3 linked regions of the Caenorhabditis elegans genome follow. The protein of the gene in region 1 interacts with the protein of each later gene in a biochemical or structural test. Each region holds a gene or a part of one and is shown in the gene's direction. Other genes may lie near its edges. The genes, in order: wwp-1, cyb-1 and ify-1.

The links.
Region 2: of the proteins of wwp-1 (region 1) and cyb-1, one has a biochemical effect on the other in vitro, tested with the Caenorhabditis elegans proteins (one study listed by BioGRID).
Region 3: of the proteins of wwp-1 (region 1) and ify-1, one has a biochemical effect on the other in vitro, tested with the Caenorhabditis elegans proteins (one study listed by BioGRID).

The regions. Positions count from the first base shown.
Region 1 is NC_003279.8:535,377-543,781, forward strand, and holds wwp-1 (E3 ubiquitin-protein ligase wwp-1), read left to right. Parts: upstream 1-1,745; 5' UTR 1,746-1,761; coding exon 1,762-1,867; intron 1,868-1,926; coding exon 1,927-2,184; intron 2,185-2,229; coding exon 2,230-2,459; intron 2,460-3,325; coding exon 3,326-3,535; intron 3,536-3,709; exon of another isoform or gene 3,710-3,866; intron 3,867-4,076; coding exon 4,077-4,351; intron 4,352-4,418; coding exon 4,419-4,632; intron 4,633-4,687; coding exon 4,688-5,008; intron 5,009-5,346; coding exon 5,347-5,607; intron 5,608-5,687; coding exon 5,688-5,909; intron 5,910-5,967; coding exon 5,968-6,255; 3' UTR 6,256-6,822; downstream 6,823-8,405. Other genes in the region: icd-2 (Nascent polypeptide-associated complex subunit alpha), read left to right, coding at 432-473, 523-930, 980-1,117. UniProt on the Caenorhabditis elegans protein: E3 ubiquitin-protein ligase which accepts ubiquitin from an E2 ubiquitin-conjugating enzyme in the form of a thioester and then directly transfers the ubiquitin to targeted substrates. Ubiquitinates klf-1.
Region 2 is NC_003282.8:10,732,679-10,737,988, forward strand, and holds cyb-1 (G2/mitotic-specific cyclin-B1), read left to right. Parts: upstream 1-2,763; 5' UTR 2,764-2,777; coding exon 2,778-2,837; intron 2,838-2,879; coding exon 2,880-3,298; intron 3,299-3,377; coding exon 3,378-3,764; intron 3,765-3,810; coding exon 3,811-3,913; intron 3,914-3,957; coding exon 3,958-4,074; 3' UTR 4,075-4,495; downstream 4,496-5,310. Other genes in the region: orc-5 (Origin recognition complex subunit 5 C-terminal domain-containing protein), read right to left, coding at 225-270, 417-526, 589-759, 807-876, 943-1,115, 1,161-1,497, 1,540-1,679, 1,757-1,900; grl-21 (Ground-like domain-containing protein), read left to right, coding at 4,815-5,150, 5,194-5,310. UniProt on the Caenorhabditis elegans protein: Essential for the control of the cell cycle at the G2/M (mitosis) transition.
Region 3 is NC_003280.10:5,053,195-5,057,662, reverse strand, and holds ify-1 (Securin-like protein), read left to right. Parts: upstream 1-2,483; 5' UTR 2,484-2,507; coding exon 2,508-2,574; intron 2,575-2,624; coding exon 2,625-2,848; intron 2,849-2,958; coding exon 2,959-3,402; 3' UTR 3,403-3,528; downstream 3,529-4,468. Other genes in the region: C27A2.12 (Histidine acid phosphatase), read left to right, coding at 10-100, 265-446, 491-583, 631-912, 962-1,111, 1,154-1,435; rpl-22 (Large ribosomal subunit protein eL22), read right to left, coding at 1,485-1,629, 1,676-1,800, 1,919-2,041; F33G12.6 (PPM-type phosphatase domain-containing protein), read right to left, coding at 4,003-4,144, 4,197-4,336. UniProt on the Caenorhabditis elegans protein: Acts as a chaperone and as an inhibitor for separase sep-1. Plays an essential role in maintaining chromosome cohesion prior to meiotic and mitotic anaphase, in cytokinesis and in organizing the spindle and the centrosome.

The DNA.
Region 1 (8,405 bases):
GCTGCAAAAACTTTGCCAGCAAAAAATTTTGTGCAAGCACGCTCCATCGCACAGTTTGAACGTCGCGGGTCGAAGTTAGATGTGCAGGTCATATAGCAAAAAGAGAAACACCCCTTTTTTTCTCGAGAAGTTTCACCAATTTTGCGCGATTTTTCAACTATTTTTTTGCTTTTTTGGCTTAATTTTGGCTCAGATTTTCCTCAAAAACATGAAAATCCAATCTAGAATAAGTAGTAATGGGTATATTCTAAGATTGTGCAAAAGTTAGCTTGAATTTCCTCGATTAAAGCTTTCCTACCAAGAAAAATGTGTGGATATTTTGAATTTACAAGTTTTTCATCTTTTTTTTGTAATATTCTCTTTGAAACTCCTGTTTCTCTCAAATTTGTAAACTTTCATAAACGTTTTTTTCAGGGTTACCACATTAAACAATGACCGGAAGCACCGAAACTCGCCAGAAGGAAGTCAAGGAGGTTGGTTGTTCAAAGTGACGTCTAAAATATTTAAATTTCTATATTTCAGCCACAAGTTGACGTTTCGGATGATTCCGACAACGAGGCCGTCGAGCAAGAGCTCACCGAGGAGCAAAGACGTGTGGCCGAGGCTGCTGGACTTGGAGATCACATCGACAAGCAGGCCAAGCAAAGCCGCTCCGAGAAGAAGGCCCGCAAGCTCTTCTCCAAGCTCGGACTCAAGCAAGTGACTGGTGTCTCCCGTGTCTGCATTCGCAAGTCGAAGAACATCCTCTTCGTCATAAACAAGCCAGACGTGTTCAAGAGCCCAGGATCTGACACCTACATCATCTTCGGAGAAGCCAAGATCGAGGATCTCACCCAACACGCCCAGATGTCTGCTATTGAGAACTTGAAGCCAACTCGTGAGGCCCCACAACTCAAGACTGTCGAAGAGGACGAGAATGAGGATGTTGAGGTAATTCAGTAACTTAATCGGATTTATTACATTAATTGTACGGTTTAAGGAGGATTCCACCGGCATTGAGGAGAAGGACATCGAGCTTGTCATTTCCCAAGCCAACACCACCCGCAACAAGGCCATCAGGGCGCTTAAGGAAGCTGACAATGACATCGTCAATGCCATCATGAGCCTTACCATGTAGCTTGTTTCCTGATGACCTTGCAGATACTCTTGTTATCGTTGTATCTCTTGCTTATCCCGTTTTCCGTTCCAAGTAAACGTTTATCAGTCTTTTTTAACTTTTTTGTTATGTTTAAAAAACAATTGCATCTTCGAATTGACCTACCTTTTACAGAAAAGAACAATTAAATCACTGTTTGTGTAAAACACCCCTCTATTGATCGAGAACTTTCACTTCTTCCAATTCTTTACTCGTATGACTGTGATTCATTTCACCTGCTATCACTTTATCATGACATTCCAGTTTATATCAACAGCAAATACCAATTGTGTGTATGTGAAAAATGCTATTGAATAGCAAGCGCGCCCCAACAAACACGTTTGAATGCGCGGGCGAAACGGCGTTAGATGTGCAGGTCATATGACAAAACGCATCGACCAGCAGCCAATGGCAAGTTACTGCGAGCTGTTATAGATTTTTTCACATGGTTTCCAGTGTTATCAGTTGGAAATCGATCGATAATACTGACTAGTAGTACTTAACATCTTCATTCCCACCGTTTCGCTGTCATTTGTGATACGTGGATTTATTTTTCCTTTCTCGCCGACTTTTCATTTCTAAATCTTTTCTGGAATTGCGAAATTTTCAGCCAGTTTCATGATCGAATGGCTCGTAATGAACCATCATCTCAGCAGCCGAGTAGTTCCGGGAGTAATGGAACTCCAGCACAACAAAACGGGTCGGCAAAACCATCAAAAGTCACAGTAAAAGGTAACAATTCGTAGATTTTTTGCATCTGTTCTAATAATATTTCCCCCTCTTAATCATAGTCGTCAACGCGTCGTTCACCAAGGCAGCCGACTGCTATGTCGAAATCACGAGTGACACGTCATCGGCGGCGCCAAAAAAGACGACTGTAAAGAAGAAGACGATGGCGCCCGAGTGGAATGAACATCTCAACGTTCATGCAAATGAATCTTCGACAATTTCGTTTCGTCTATTGCAAAAAGCCAAGCTATTCGATGACACGTGTCTAGGGATGGCGAAGCTGAAGCTTTCGAGTCTCACAAGAAATGAGAATGGAGAGTGTAAGTGGTTTTATTGAAATTTTCTCAAAAAATCTATTATTTCAGTCAAAAACGACATCAACAATATATCTTTGCTGGCCAAAGACTCCTCGAAAATCGGAACTCTCAACATAATTTTCTCCGGATATCCAGAGCGGAAACGAAGAAGCGCAGGAGTACGAGCTGAAACCGCCGCGTCTGCAAGTTCAGAGGCATCCACGTCAAATGGCGTTGCCACGTCATCCTCGGCGCGGAGACCGGCGACAGCGAAGCGTGACACTTTGGCGGCTCCAACGGTAATCGTGACGAGACCCATTTTGAATTATTTAATTATTCATGAAACGCTCTACTGGAGTGTTCATAATTATTAGAGCGCGCTCGCGCGGCACCTCACGAACTCCAGAATTCGCGAGGACAGCAGTTTTTGGCTATTTTGGCTTCTATGGAAATTATTTTTAATTTTTTGATTTAAAATATTGTTGAGAAGCATCATCCAAATTGAAAATGTGTAAAATTATGAAATTTGACCGAAAACTGAAGGTTTTACAGAGAGGAGTCACCACGGCTTTCTTTAAAAAGTATCAGTACCGTCAGTATTTCGATTTCAGAGTCGTAAAATATGTCATTTTGTAGAGAAACGTCTGTTTCACAAAAATCCATGTTTGATATTTTAATTGTTTAATTTCTAATATAAAAATATTCAAAAAATCAACAAGTTTACGTTAAAATCGAATTTTTCAATCGTTCAGTTTTTAATAAGAACAATTTCATAATTTCAAACATGGATTTTTTTGAAACAGACTTTTCTCTACAAAATGACATATTTTACGACTCTGAAATCGAAAAAACTGACGGTACTGATACATTTTAAAGAAAGTCGTGGTGACTCCTCTCTGTAAACCTTCAGTTTTCGTTAAAAATAATTTCCATAGAAGCCAAAAATAGCCAAAAACTGCTGTCCCCGCGAAACGAAATCCCGCGAATTCTGGAGTTCGTGAGGTGCCGCGCGAGCGCGCTCTAATAATTATGAACACTAGAGGAGAGCGTGAATGAGCGTTTTTTATTCTTTTCTCTGCATTTTTAATGCTACAGAATCATACACAAAATGTTGTCAAATACATGCATTACTCTACTACTCTTAATGTTTACTTTTCATTTGCAGAGTACCGCAGCGGCGGCAGCAGCAGCAACAGCAGGCGGCACCCCGGCCGCCGGAGCAGAAGAACAGCTTCCCGATGGATGGGAGATGCGTTTCGATCAATACGGACGCAAGTACTACGTGGATCACACCACCAAGAGCACCACGTGGGAACGCCCGTCTACTCAGCCATTGCCACAGGGATGGGAAATGCGAAGAGATCCGAGAGGAAGAGTGAGTTTTCCGGCGGAAAAAGCAGATTTAGCACGAGAAAAGCGTTTCTGATTATATTTTTGATGCGAAAATCATCAAAATTAAAAATATCTACCGTAGCCGCGGATACCTGGACCAAAATGCCGAAAAAAGTGACCTGATAAATTATTTTAAGGCTAAAATCTTGATTTTTACATAATTAGTGTCTTATTTTTGTTGATTTCTTGTCAAATTTTTGTAATTGCATCGAAATAGGCCAAAAATAAAGTAAAAATCAACTTCCAACACAGAAAAACTGACAAAATTGAAGATTTTTGCTGAATTCAGGCAATTTTTCGTAATTTTGATCCTCCATAATTTTTTTTTTCGAGAAAATTTTGAAATTTTTTCTTTAAATACGGCCTGAAAATTAGGAAATTATAACGACGGATAAAAAATTCTGATTTTCTTTATTTTAACCAAGGTCTCCAATTATTTGATAATCGAAAAAAAAAAAACTTTCCAGTGATTTTTACTTGAAAAATGTCTAAAAATTCACGCCAGGTGCACAATCCATTTTCAGGTGTATTACGTGGATCACAACACGCGCACGACCACCTGGCAACGACCGACAGCCGATATGCTTGAAGCACACGAACAATGGCAATCGGGAAGAGATCAGGCGATGCTTCAATGGGAACAACGTTTCCTTCTCCAGCAGAACAACTTTAGCGCCGACGATCCACTCGGACCATTGCCCGAAGGATGGGAGAAGCGTCAGGATCCGAATACGTCGAGAATGTACTTTGTGAATCATGTAAATAGAACGACACAATGGGAAGATCCGAGAACACAGGGGTATGTGAAAATTTTCAATTTTCCAATAATATTTCTATCAAAAATCACAGTTTTAATGTTTTAAAAGTTTCAGAGGCTCCGACCAACCTCTTCCGGATGGTTGGGAAATGCGATTCACCGAGCAAGGCGTTCCATTCTTCATCGATCACCAGTCTAAAACCACCACCTATAATGATCCAAGAACCGGAAAACCCGTCGGCCCGCTCGGCGTCGTCGGTGTTCAAATGGCCATGGAGAAGAGTTTCCGGTGGAAAATTGCACAATTCAGATATTTATGCTTGGTAAGGGAGGGCGAGAAATTCTTTGATTTTAGCTATAAATTGATGTAAATTTCAGTCAAACAGTGTGCCTAATCATGTCAAAATCACAGTATCCCGTAATAACGTGTTCGAAGACTCATTCCAAGAAATTATGCGTAAAAATGCAGTCGATCTACGCCGGCGGCTGTACATTCAATTCCGAGGCGAAGAGGGTCTCGACTATGGAGGTGTCGCCAGAGAATGGTTCTTCCTGCTGTCGCACGAAGTGTTGAATCCAATGTATTGCCTATTCATGTATGCTGGTAATAACAATTATAGTCTTCAAATCAATCCAGCTTCATTTGTTAACCCGGATCATCTTAAGTATTTCGAGTATATTGGACGATTCATTGCCATGGTGAGTGTTTTTTTTTAATTGAAAATCAGTTGAAAATTGGATGAAAAATTGCGAAATCGAGAGAAAATCGAGTTTTCCGCTTTTTACAATTGAATTTTAAAATTTTAAACGTTAAATTTTGCAGAAAATTCCAAAAAAAAGCACTTGGATCTAAAATTTTTGTTTTTTGATGAAGGAAATCCTTAAATATCGATTTTTTTTATTTTCAGCTCAAAAAACCTGGAAATTTCGATGATCTCAAATTTTCAGATCAATATATTTCATTTTCTCCTAAAAATGTTATTTTTATTTAAACAAATAGTTTTTCTTAGAAAATTCCTTTATTTTCAAATTTCCAGGCGCTATTCCACGGGAAATTCATCTACAGCGGTTTCACGATGCCATTCTACAAAAAGATGCTCAACAAGAAGATTGTTTTAAAGGACATTGAACAAGTCGATTCGGAAATTTATAATTCATTGATGTGGATCAAGGATAACAATATCGATGAATGCGATATGGAGCTCTATTTTGTTGCCGATTACGAGCTGCTCGGCGAGCTCAAGACTTATGAGCTTAAGGAGGGCGGTACAGAGATTGCTGTTACCGAGGAGAATAAGGTGAGATTTTGGATTAGCTAGAGCTTATAAAAATAATTTTTAAATAAAATAATTTAATTTAAAAAATCCCAATTTTCCAGCTTGAATACATCGAACTGCTCGTTGAGTGGCGCTTCAATCGCGGTGTCGAACAACAGACAAAAGCCTTCTTCACCGGCTTCAACTCGGTCTTCCCGTTGGAATGGATGCAGTATTTCGATGAAAGAGAGCTCGAGCTGTTGCTCTGCGGAATGCAGGACGTTGATGTGGACGATTGGCAGAGAAATACTGTCTACAGACATTATGCTCCACAGAGCAAGCAGGTAGGGGAGAACATTTGATTAAAACTTCTTTTTTTTTAATTAAAAAATACATTTATAGGTAACCTGGTTCTGGCAATGGGTTCGAAGTCTGGACCAAGAAAAACGTGCCCGGCTCCTACAATTCGTCACAGGAACGTGCCGTGTGCCAGTCGGTGGATTTTCCGAGCTGATGGGCTCGACGGGACCACAACTATTCTGTATCGAGCGTGTCGGCAAGGAGAACTGGCTCCCACGGTCGCATACGTGCTTCAATCGACTCGACTTGCCGCCATACAGAAGCTACGATCAGCTCGTCGAGAAGTTGAGCATGGCGATCGAGATGACGGAAGGATTTGGAAACGAGTAGTCTCCCGTTGTTTTTTTTTGGTTTTGCTGGCCGCCTAATTATTGTATAACCCTCATATTTCTTCTCACCCACACCCCATTGATTTTCCTTTTTTTTCTCTCCATCAATTAATGTTTCTTTTTTTCGAATTTGTGTGATAATTTTCGTGTTGTGATACCACTTGCTTAGGTTCTCTCTCTCTCTTTCCTTTCCTTCTGGGTATGTACCTATATTTAGAATATAGACAAAGCATCTAGTTTTTTTGGATTTAATTTCCAAATTTCCCGTTTAATTCCAACAACAAAAAAACAATTCCACCACTTTTCAAATATTTTTTTTGTGTCCATTGCTTCATTGCTTTTCTTCTTCTCAACCATTTCAACCACCACCACCCAATCTGCGCCTTATTCTTACTTGGTCCTTGTCATTCTTAGTTCCAGTTTTTTTCACGGAAGCAGCTCTCGATTATTAATTCAAATGCATCCCCCCAACCAATCCGTCACCCCCCGATTAGAACAATTTCTACTTTTTTTTTTGAAAACAAAAAAAAACACAATTCCTCGATTTGGTTGTAATGAATTTAATTTTTTAAATTTTGAGCCTTTTTTGTTGTTTTAGGTTTTCTTAACTTTCAGAATTTCCATGCGGAACACACGGAGAGCAGAAGATCAATATTTTGAACCCTGCAGGAGAAGGACGGGACCCTTTGGTCACTCATGTCTCGGCTGTCTGCGTCTCTCCTCTCTCTCTGCACCAGCGGAGAGGATGGATAGCCTCATTCGTTTTATTTCGGACTTTCGATTTTTCTTATTGCTCCACGTTTTAGCTTTTATCAGATTCGGGGAGCTCTTGCTTTTTTCTTGATTTTTTCGTAAAGTGTTCTTGGGTCCCGCAGCGAAAATTAACTTTAAAATGATTTTTTAAAAACTTTCTAAAAATTCATTTTTTTTTCCATTTTACGACTAGAAATTTCGAAATTTGAAAAAAAAAACCGTGTTGCAAATGCGCTCCAGCGTACAAAACAAAACCGCCACCAAAAAATTTAAATTACTGAAAAAAACGATGAAATTTTGAATTTGTTTTGCCATTTTCCGGCAATGATTTTTTAAATAAAAAAAACTGTACAACAAATGCGCTCCAGCGAACTAACCTTCAAATTACCGAAAAAAATTATAAAAATTTGAATATTTCCGATTAACCCAAGAAAAGAAAAATTCAATGATTTTCTTGAAAAAAGTTATTTTTTTCTCAATTTTTCGTCAATAATACTCAAAATTTGAAGAAAAATTGTGTAGCAAGCGCGCTCTAGCGAACCAAACAAAATGTCTCCATTGAAGCGTTTCACGAGGTTCTGGCCTACCTCATTGAATTTTTCGCGCTCCATTGACAATCGCCCGCCGATAACGCGTGGGAAAGTCGTGTACTCCACACGGACAAATACATTTAGTTTTACTACAAATATCGAGCCGCGACGCGACACGCAACGCGCCGTAAATCTACCCCAGATATGGCCGAGCCAAAATGGCCTAGTTCGGCAAAAACTCTTCCATTTCAATTCATGAGGGAAGCCAGAAATCCGTGATCCAAGTAAAAAAAATCCCAAAAATTTCAATTTGCAAGGGCGCTCCATTGAAAACTGTGGCGCCGATCGCAACTCACGGTCGAATTTGAATTTTTAGTTGAAAAAAAAACACCAATTTGAACTGAAAATTTGAATTTTCAATTTTTTCCCTAAAATAAATTGTTCAGAGTTTCGCTGTCGAATTGTTGATACCCGCTCGTCAGAATTGGAAATTGAGAAATTGAGAGAGAATTAGAGAAGGAGAGGAAGAGGAACTGCTCACTGGTCCCCTCACTCCATCCGAAATTAGGCACTTTTTGCTCCGGCGGCACTAGAAGACGAAGAAAAAACGACGAGCAGAACACAATCAATTTCGTCTTCTTTTTTATTTTTTTTTGGTTTTTTCTTGTTGGTACCACGGATTTCTGGCTTCCCTCATAAATTGAAATGGAAGAGTTTTTGCCGAAATAGGCCATTTTGGCTCGGCCATATCTGGGGTAGACTAACGGCGCGTTGCGTGTCGCGTCGCGGCTCGATTTTAGTTGTAAAACTAAATGTGATTTGTCCGTGTGGAGTACACGACTTTCCCACGCGTTGTCCGGCGGCCGAT
Region 2 (5,310 bases), on another chromosome or scaffold:
GTCTACTATTTTCAGATTATGATCCTGTTTTCTTTTGCTATGTAATTTCTTTTTGTTGTGATATTCGAATAAATTTTTCTTTCGAATCAAAAACCCACGTCAATGATTATTTAGCTGTACGGTATTGAATGTGGGATCTCGTATAAAATAACTAAGTAATCATGTAATTTATTTCATAGTTGGTGAGAAGAAAGTGAGATAATTGTACCCGGCAGTTGAAATTTTCAGGTGGCGTGTTCAAGATAATTCCGCAGCTCCAAATTGAGTGACCTGCAAAAATAAAAATTGCACGAAAAAAAAGACTACATAATCGAGTTTGTTTATTTCGTTATTGTTTTCTCAAACAAAACAGTAAAAATATATGACAGGGTATTTTTTATTTTTCAATATCAGTCCTATTTTATTTCCTTTTTTACCTGGATATTTTGAGAGCGCTCTCCAACGAAATTAGACACTTGATCTTCGGAATATCGAGATTGCTTCGATTTGTTACTGACACGAGCCCCATTGAATCGAGAGATGCGATCTGGAACCTTTGGATGAGAAATTTTTCTAGGCGAAATGAAGAGAATGTATAGTGCAACATACAACACTTTTGAGATCAAATCCTGTAATAGTCGATTCATTGATTTTGAGAAGCGTTTCGTAAATACAAATTATTCTTTGAAGATCTGCAGCTTTTGGACCGAGATCTTTGGCAAGTCGATTTTCTTCTAAACGCAGCTCTTTCTTTTCTGATCTCTTTTCTCGGCCGTGGTTCTGAAAAAAACGGAAAATTATTATTTCTGGAATAAATTATGTGCAACCTTTACGAAAAATCGGCAGTCTGATTGATGAGGATTATTGCTGGCACAGTATGCGGCTATGAGAAGATATCTGAAATAAAAATTTACTGGAATTTCTGGAAGAACTACATATTTTCTGTTGAGTATTTTTAGATACCTCATGGCGAGCGGCATGGCATCAAAACTGTTCTCGTTCTCCTTGGCCAGATTCTCTCCGACAACATTCCCGAGCTTTTCTCCAGATGATCTATTGAGGCATTCTTTTGCCAGTGTAGAGTCGAATTTATCGCCGGTTCTCCGCTCATCATACATTAGCCACGCATCAGATATCTGGAATTGTAGTGATGGATTTAACATTGTTTTTAAAAAACTTACAATTGATAGAAGAATATTCGGTGACTTGCAGGCCATGAACAGTGACTGGCAAGCAACGTGAAGAAATTGCGCGTTGATTTTTGGATTTGCACGAGAAATAAGAACTTTGGTAGTTTCTACTGATGGTGCAGGTATGTGAAACTCTACAACTGGAAGATGGCTCAGATTAATGTGATATTGGTTCAAGCAGGATGGTGCACTCGTCACAAATCGAATCGTTATTTCTTGTATAGCTTTGTAAGAATCGAATAAGCATTGTAATGGAACAGGAGGATAGTCTGTTATCGCTTGTGCATTATCAAGAAAAATGACAATTTTTCTATTAGTTTCGTCTGGCCTGAAAATATTTAAAATTTAATTAACAAGAAAATACACTTACCATTGGACATATTTATACAGGTTATCGCAAAAATTCTCAGCTCTGTCACCTCTAGTCTTGAAACCTAAACTCGATGCCAGTGAATCGAATAACAATTTCAGCGATCCATCCGCATAGAGGAAGTCTCCAAGCACACAAACCTATAAAAATAGATTGTGAATTTTGAAATTGTTTGAAATTTTTAATTGTTTTGAAATTGAAGTTGTAAAACACGAACCCAATCGTTTTCAGGTTTTCTCAGAAGTTGACGAACAATTTCACTTCTTCCGCTTCCATCTTCTCCGAAAATGTGGACATGAGAAATAATTCGCGAGTTGTTAAATAAGAGCATTTTTAGACGTCTTATCTCACAATTTTCCATTTTGCTAAAAATAAAAAACTATGATATGGATAAAATGACTGATTTTTCAGCCTTGAAATAAAAACAAAAAAAACTTTCTTCCAGTAAAAACTGTTTTCAAGTTGGCGGGTATTCAATGGAGCAGGTTTACTTGGCTAAACTAAGCGCGATGCGAAATAACGGAGTGTCGTATTGCAGCGCGAACCTTGAAAATAAAATCATTTGCTCTTGAAACTTTGCGATTATTAAAGTTTTGATCGGATCTCCCTCAATTTTTCGGCGCCAAGAATTTATTTTTTGCAAAAACCTTCAATGGAACGATTATTTTCCAACGCAGGTTTCCCTATTTGAATCTTTGCCACATAGACCGGTTCATTTTATTCATTATTCGATTCTTGAACAAAAACAATCTTTTTTTCTTTGGCTTATCGTTATCAAATACCTAACTTTGGAGCTTTATTAATATTCTAGGTTCATTTGTAATTCATCTTTTAACGTCTGTTCTTCATTCATCCTAGGTGACATATTTAATCGATATTACCCTTCGCGATTCCCCCCTCCTACCACCAAGCACCATCTTGGTGTGGGGGAGTTGCGCTCCGTTGGACAATCGCTGCACGCGGAACATTCGAATCCCATTTGTCGATATTCTTGTATTTAGTGCAAACAATTCTTAATAGGCTCCTCACGTGACCTTAACATGTTCGCCGTGTAGAAACTATTTACACGTTGTGTTCTATTTAGATAAAATCATAACCTTTCTGTCAGATTTTGTAAAACGTCCAGTATTTCTCAACTTACCAATTTTCTACTAGCAATCAAAGGTTCTTTCTCACTTTTTATTTTATTATCTCTTGGAACTTGCAAACAATCGTTTATTGCAGCGAAAGGCCTCAATATGCTAAGAGCCACCAACAACAGACGAACATCGAATAATGTGGAAAAGGATAGCCTCCAGGTACAAGGTGTTTACAAACTAAAAACTATAATTATCATTCAGATGGCTAAGCACGGAAACGGACCATTGAAGCCCGTCAATGCGCAAGGTCTTCAGACGAAAAGAGAAGCTCGAGAGATTCTTGCACTCAAGCCATCCAATCCAGCTCCAGTCGAAACTGCGCAAAAGTCACAGAGAATCAACCTCCAGGATGCTGAGACTAAATGTCTTGCTATGGCCGACGACATATACAAGTATCTCGTTCATCACGAGAAAAAGTATCTTCTTGAGGAGTGCTTCATGGAGGGAGGAGAGCCCACTCCCAAGATGCGTCGCATTCTCGTCGATTGGCTTGTCCAAGTTCATGTTCGATTCCATCTCACACCTGAGACACTTCACTTGACTGTCTTCATTCTGGATCGCATGCTTCAGAAGAAGGTCACCTCCAAGGCGGATCTTCAGCTTCTTGGAATTTCAGCTATGTGAGAGTTTTTATTCAATTTTAAAACGTAACATATAGGGATTACTAATTGTGTATCCTTTAAAAATGTTTTGTTTCAGGTTCGTTGCCTCCAAGTTCGAAGAGGTTTACCTCCCAGACATCCACGACTACGAGTTCATCACTGAGAACACATACAGCAAGAAGCAGATCTTGGCAATGGAGCAAACAATCCTTAACTCGTTGAACTTTGACTTGTCCTGCCCATCTTCGCTTGTCTTCCTCCGCTGTCTCTCAAGAATTCTCTCCGAAAACGATGCCAGCCCAATCGATAATCAAGCTTTCTGTTATACTTACAATATCTCCAAGTGTCTCGGAGAGCTCGCACTGCTCGATTCGGTTATGGCCTCGACCCCAAGGTCCCACATTGCTTCTGCTTCGATGATCATCGCTCTTGAAGTTCATCCTGTTGACGGAATCGAGGCGGAGAATGCTGTATCGGTCATTTGGTACATTTTAAAGCTTATATTTTTATTTTAATATCAACATTTTTAGCAAACAGCTCGGAGCCTCTAAGAAAGTCATTGAGGATGCTGTCGCTTTGCTCGCCGAAGTCTCGTATAAGAACTTCAAACAGGGGAAGCTTGTCGCTATTAAGGTATTGAATCATCGAAGTATTCCAATAAACATAATTATTTGCAGAATAAGTATCAATCAAGCAAGCTTGCACAAGTTTCCAACTTGATGACCGACGACGTACTCGAGAAAATCAATCGGATGGGCCAGAATGCAAAAGTGGACGCATCAGAAATGGAATGAGCACTTCGATCCGAAATAAACATTTTGTACCATTCAGTCTTTCTTGATTCTTATGTTTCTTCCTTCATTGCTTTTCTTTTCGGCTCCTTTCCATTTTTTAACTCCTCCAGTCGTTTCCACGTCAATCTGGTCACACCCGTACATTGATTGTAAATTGGTGAACATTCGTTGAGCGACCATACACCACCTCCCATATTATTCAATTTGTCCATTTTGAAATTTAAAATTTCACTAAAAATTTTTATCACAACTTTTCGCGCCCTCTTTTGTATCGATCTCGTATTTAATTATTGAAACCACACTGCTGTAAGACTCACCGTCCTCATCTCTGTTGTTGTAACTAGAAGGACCAAAAACTTTCTGATGAAACCTATGTGCTATTAAATTTTGTTAAATGGAATTACTATAAATCATGTACTAAATAAGTGATGGAGTAGTCTGAAGGTTCTAGGGGGTCTCCTGCGCAATGACGCGACGAACTTAAACCAGTCAACAAGCATAAAAACAAGTAGGCTCCACCCACTTTAACCTTGAATTCTGTGTGCCGAACCCGGGGTCAAGTGGCTTTTCGGCCAATTACTCATCGGTTTGTTACAGCACTGGCGGTCACTTCTCGCCGAATTTTCTCAAAATGTGTAATAATGAAGCTGCAATTTCTCTGCGTATCAATCTCTAACGCTCTGCTGTAATGACTACAAAAGTGACCATCGAAAACGAGAATTTCATACATTCCACTCGAAATGGTTCATTCATCAGTTCTAATTGTTCTTTCACTGACTGCTTCTTCATCTGCATTCCTTCTAGAAGGACTCGGTTTAGGATTAGGTCCACAAAGACCTCAACAATGCTGCTGTCCACCACCTCCACCACCTCCACCATGCGGAGGCGGATATGAAGCTCCACCTCCACCACCACCACCATCATATGCGGGTGGACCATCATACGCTGGACCATCTTATGCTGGATCCTACGGACCAGGACCATACAGAGCCAAGTCAAAGAGATCAGTTGACATGAAAGCTTCAAGTGGAGATTTGTTCTGTAATAGTGTTGAAGTTAGAGATATTATCAAGAAGGTATTGCATTTGAAAGTAACTAGTCTATATTGAACATTTTCAGGGAATGACATCAGGTGAGAAGGAGTCACGTGAAACAATCACTGCTCTCCTGAAAACTGAAATGAACCGTGAATATGTTGTGATCTGCACAAAGCAGCCATTCGAATACCTCGCTTCT
Region 3 (4,468 bases), on another chromosome or scaffold:
ATGCAACAGATTTTCATACGCTCCACTGATGTAAACCGTACAATCAATTCTGCTATCTCGAACATGCTGGGCATGTTCTCCAGTTCCGTATCCCGACCAGGTCGGTTTTTTGTGTACGCACAAGTTCCCCGAATACTTGTCGGCCGCCATAGCTCAGTCGGTTAGAGCGTGGGTCTAATAAGCCCAAGGTCGCAGGTTCGACCCCTGCTGGCGGCAAAATTTTTTTTTTAATTTACAATGACTTTTGTAGTTTTGGCATTCCAGGTATCGACTATCCTGATATAGAAGGATGGCCACGTGGTTTTATGCCTGTACCAATTCATAGTGCTGGGCCGGCTGGTCAAGATTGTGTTGCTAGTGCATTTTGTATTTGTAGGCGCAGAGATGAACTTCTGAAAATAGCACACGAGGGAGAACAGTTTCAGAGTTATGTACAATCTGAAAAGGTATGAGAAGTGAAACCAGTTATAATTTAAAAATTTAATTCCAGTATGTGAACACAACTTTATTATTGTCTGAACTATTTAATCAAACATTTACATGGGATAACATGTGGCAAGTTCATGATGCTGTTATGATTCAAGTACTTGGTCTACTTAATTTTAAAACCTTTTAAAATTTAATTTTCAGAAAATTCACTTTCCAGAATCTGTACTAAATCAAACATGGTATTCTGATGAATTCTTTGAGAATCTTGACGATTTAGAAAGACCTTCAAAAGCATTCGTTACGGGACTTTATGATCCGCCAATTGTTCAAGGCATCAATGTACGAAGAGAAATCTTAAAAACACGGGGTGGCCCAATGATAAACGATATATCTGCAAGAATGAGAACGAAAGCAACTTGTGCTAAAAATGAAGCCAAATGTGACAATTATCACAAAAATCTGAAATACTACGCTTACTCTACAGTAATCACAACTCCTCTGTACTTGTATAATAGAATCATTTTAATTTCAGCATGATCACACAGTATTCGCTCTCCTCGCTGTGTTAGGAATTGAGGATATTGTTGCAGGACCTGAGAAATATGGCGAGTGGCCTGACTATGCTTCAGATATCGCGATCGAACTGTTCCATAATAAAACGGACGAGAAGCCCTATTTCAGAGTATGTTTCGATTCATAATGCCATCTCATCGCATAATTGCAGGTGCTGTATCAGAAAAATGTTCATTCAACTTTCGAAACTGTCACGTCGAGAATCAAGGGATGCCGAGGAGAACAGTTCTGCGACATGCGAACATTCGAAAACAAAGCAAAGGAATCCCGGCCAGACCGACCCATCCACGAGTTCTGCGAAATACCACCAGGGGAGGATAACAGAGTTACAACCTGGATAAGAAAATTTTTGCATCAAAATTCCGATTTCGAATCATCTTCACCACTCATTCCCTACTGGTACTCGATAATAATCATATTGCTGTTTTTCTAATGAAGCCTGATTTGAAACAACAATTTATTCCAACAACAAAAAACCGAGTTTACTCGTGGTCGCTTCCTGCGTCCTCTCCGTCGTTGATGTGGAAGTATCTGACCTCGTAGGTGTTCTTGTTGACAGCGACCACACGGAGCCAATCACGGAGGGAGTTTCTCTTGAGGTACTTCTTGGTAAGGTACTTGAGGTATCTGAATATAAAAATATGAGAACAAGTTTGATTGAATAAAATGCTACCTCTTCGAGAATGGGACCTCGGAGACGACTGAGACCTTGGACTTGGCGACCTCGACCTTGACGTTGTTAGCGGCCAAATGTCCGGTCTTTCCATTGACCTTGATCTTCTCGTTCAAGAAGGCTTCCTGAAAACAACCGGGACTTACTAGGGACCAATATATACCCTAAGCCTGGTCTTGCGATAGAGACGGGAACTCTATCGACTTGATGAGGCTGATTAATTTTAAAAAGCCTACAACTTACAAGATCTTCGATTCTGAGAATTCCATCCTCAACTGGGTTCTTGCACTCAACGTTGAACTTGAGGTGCACCTTCTTCTTGCGAAGAGCCTTCTTGGCCGACTTGGCGTGTGGCTTTGGGACCATGATTACCTGAAAGTAAAAATTGAGATCTTACAAAATATTATCGGCATCTTCAGGAATAAACGATCATGAAAATAACAAAAAACGATTTCGAAAGCTACACAATATTAAATTGTTTTAAATCTGCTGAAAAAAGCTTGCGTGAAGGTAAAACCCAGAAAAGAAGCAAATTTAGGCCGAGAACTCTACTCATTTTCCAAGTCGGCGTCCCAACACGACAATAACTACGGTCACACTCGTTTCAGCTGTGCGTACCTCCCTCTTATGCATCTGCGCTCTATGGCACTTCGAAGACGCCGGCTAGTTTAAATCATTGATTTTTCCTTTTCACATTTTGTTTCCATCTTTTTGCGGCAAAACGTGAACAATTTAAATTCTTTTGCATCATCGAAACAATTTTTGTATTCATTCCTACTAATTGAAAACTGGCATTCGTACTTTCTAGCTATTCATACTCGCACAAGTCAAAATGGAGGATCTAAACTTCGAAGAAAGAGGAAGCACCCAGATACCAGCCTCCTTGCAACAACACTTCAGTAAGTTTTATTTTAATATATTTATTTTACTTATAACGTCTTTGTTTTAGGTGCAAAGCTAGGCAGACAAAATGAACTTGAAAAGACACCTTCTCGTGGCGGTTTGGGGCTGGTTGTAAACTCGTCAAAAACTCCTGGCGGAAAATCGCTTCAGAGCTTGGCATCGGCTTGTAAAGTGCCACCTTCAACCAAGAAGAACACTATTCCAATTGCTTTTGAATGTTATGAAGATGAGACAGATGATCAGATTGCCGATGTGGCCACCATTAAAAAGGTGATGTTTTCTTCCAGCATAATTATTAAAAGAAAAGAAAACTACGGAAGTTTTAATCTTAAAACAATTAAAAGTATTGCTTCATAATTTTTATTTTCATCATTTTCTAGACCGAAAAACATCCATGCTCTCCAATCGACACTGCAAACCGATGTGAAACATTCGATTCGCTAGCTGCTGACATTGAGGACGATATGCTTAATTTGGAAGATCAAGACGTCGTACTTTCTGAAGATCGGCCATATGGAGACGTTATCGATCCGGCAGAGTCTGAAGCAGAAGCTCTTGCTGAATTGGGAGTCGAGGAATGGGACTCATATCCACCAATTGATCCAGCTTCAAGAATTGGCGACGATTTCAATTATGTGCTCAGAACAGAGGATTTCGCGGAAGAAGGTGATGTGAAACTCGAAGAAACTCGCCATCGGACTGTTATTGCTGATATTGATGAAGTGAAAATGAGTAAGGCTGAAAGAAATGAACTCTTTTCGATGCTTGCGGACGATTTGGATAGTTACGACCTCCTCGCCGAAGAAGCCAACCTTCCCCTGTGATTTCCCACGACGTCAGCCTCTTCTACCTGTTTTACATATATTGGCGAAATCACCCTCGCCCCACAATCATTCCCCCCACTGGTAATTTTCTATGTCCATTCTCTGAACAATGAAACGGTATATCAATGTATTTTATAACTGTTTCAGATGTTTTTGTCTTATAAAAAGTTTTCCAGGAGCTTTTCCCGAAAAATATGTACGGAAAGACGTTTGATGTCTACTATGAAAAGACATAGAAAAAATTCGCGAAGCATTTTTGGAATTTGTTTGAATTAATCTAATATTCCAGGTGTTGGATTGAAGTATTTATTTGACAGAAATTCGACATTTACCGAGGCAAAAACGATTGAGAGGAAATTTGTTTCAAATTATTTAATTCACTCGTAAGCGAAAAAACGGATGTTTTCCGTTTCGAAAGAAATGAATACAAGAAAAGACAAATTTGGCAAAAATTGTAATTTTCTTTCCTATAAATGAATGACTGCGCAGTGATAAAATATCGAAAAGATCGGGTGAAAAACATGGAAGCAAATTATATTCATCGGGATAGCAAAATCTCAGTGGTAGGATAAGTATGGAAATATACATTTGACGAGGTGTTTAGACATTGGTGGCTTTCATTGAGATTTTCATAGTGGATTGGTCAACATTGGATAATGTACGATTCGATCCCAACATGCTTCTGATTCGTTGGCGAAGTGTGTTACGATCGGCATTTGCGGAACTCAAGCTGACATCACCTCTGAAAAAATTAAACTTTGTTTGGAATTTTCAAAATTAAAATGCAAGAAAACCTTATGTCGTCAGCAGTTTTTTGATCTTCTTTCTTGGTCACAAGCTTCTTGAGCCATTGGACATCAACTCCCAAAGTATGACGTCCCATGGATCCTCTGCCATGCTTCTTCCTACGTTTTCCAGAATCTCTTGAGCTTATCTGAACTTGAAAAGTGAGAAAAAATCCAATAATATGGAAATGTTGTAAAATGTTTTGAAATCGATTTGGAAACGTGCTCAACTGCCAATTGAAAACGCTCCGCCACCAACAGTTGGGTCTTGTTAGGTAAAC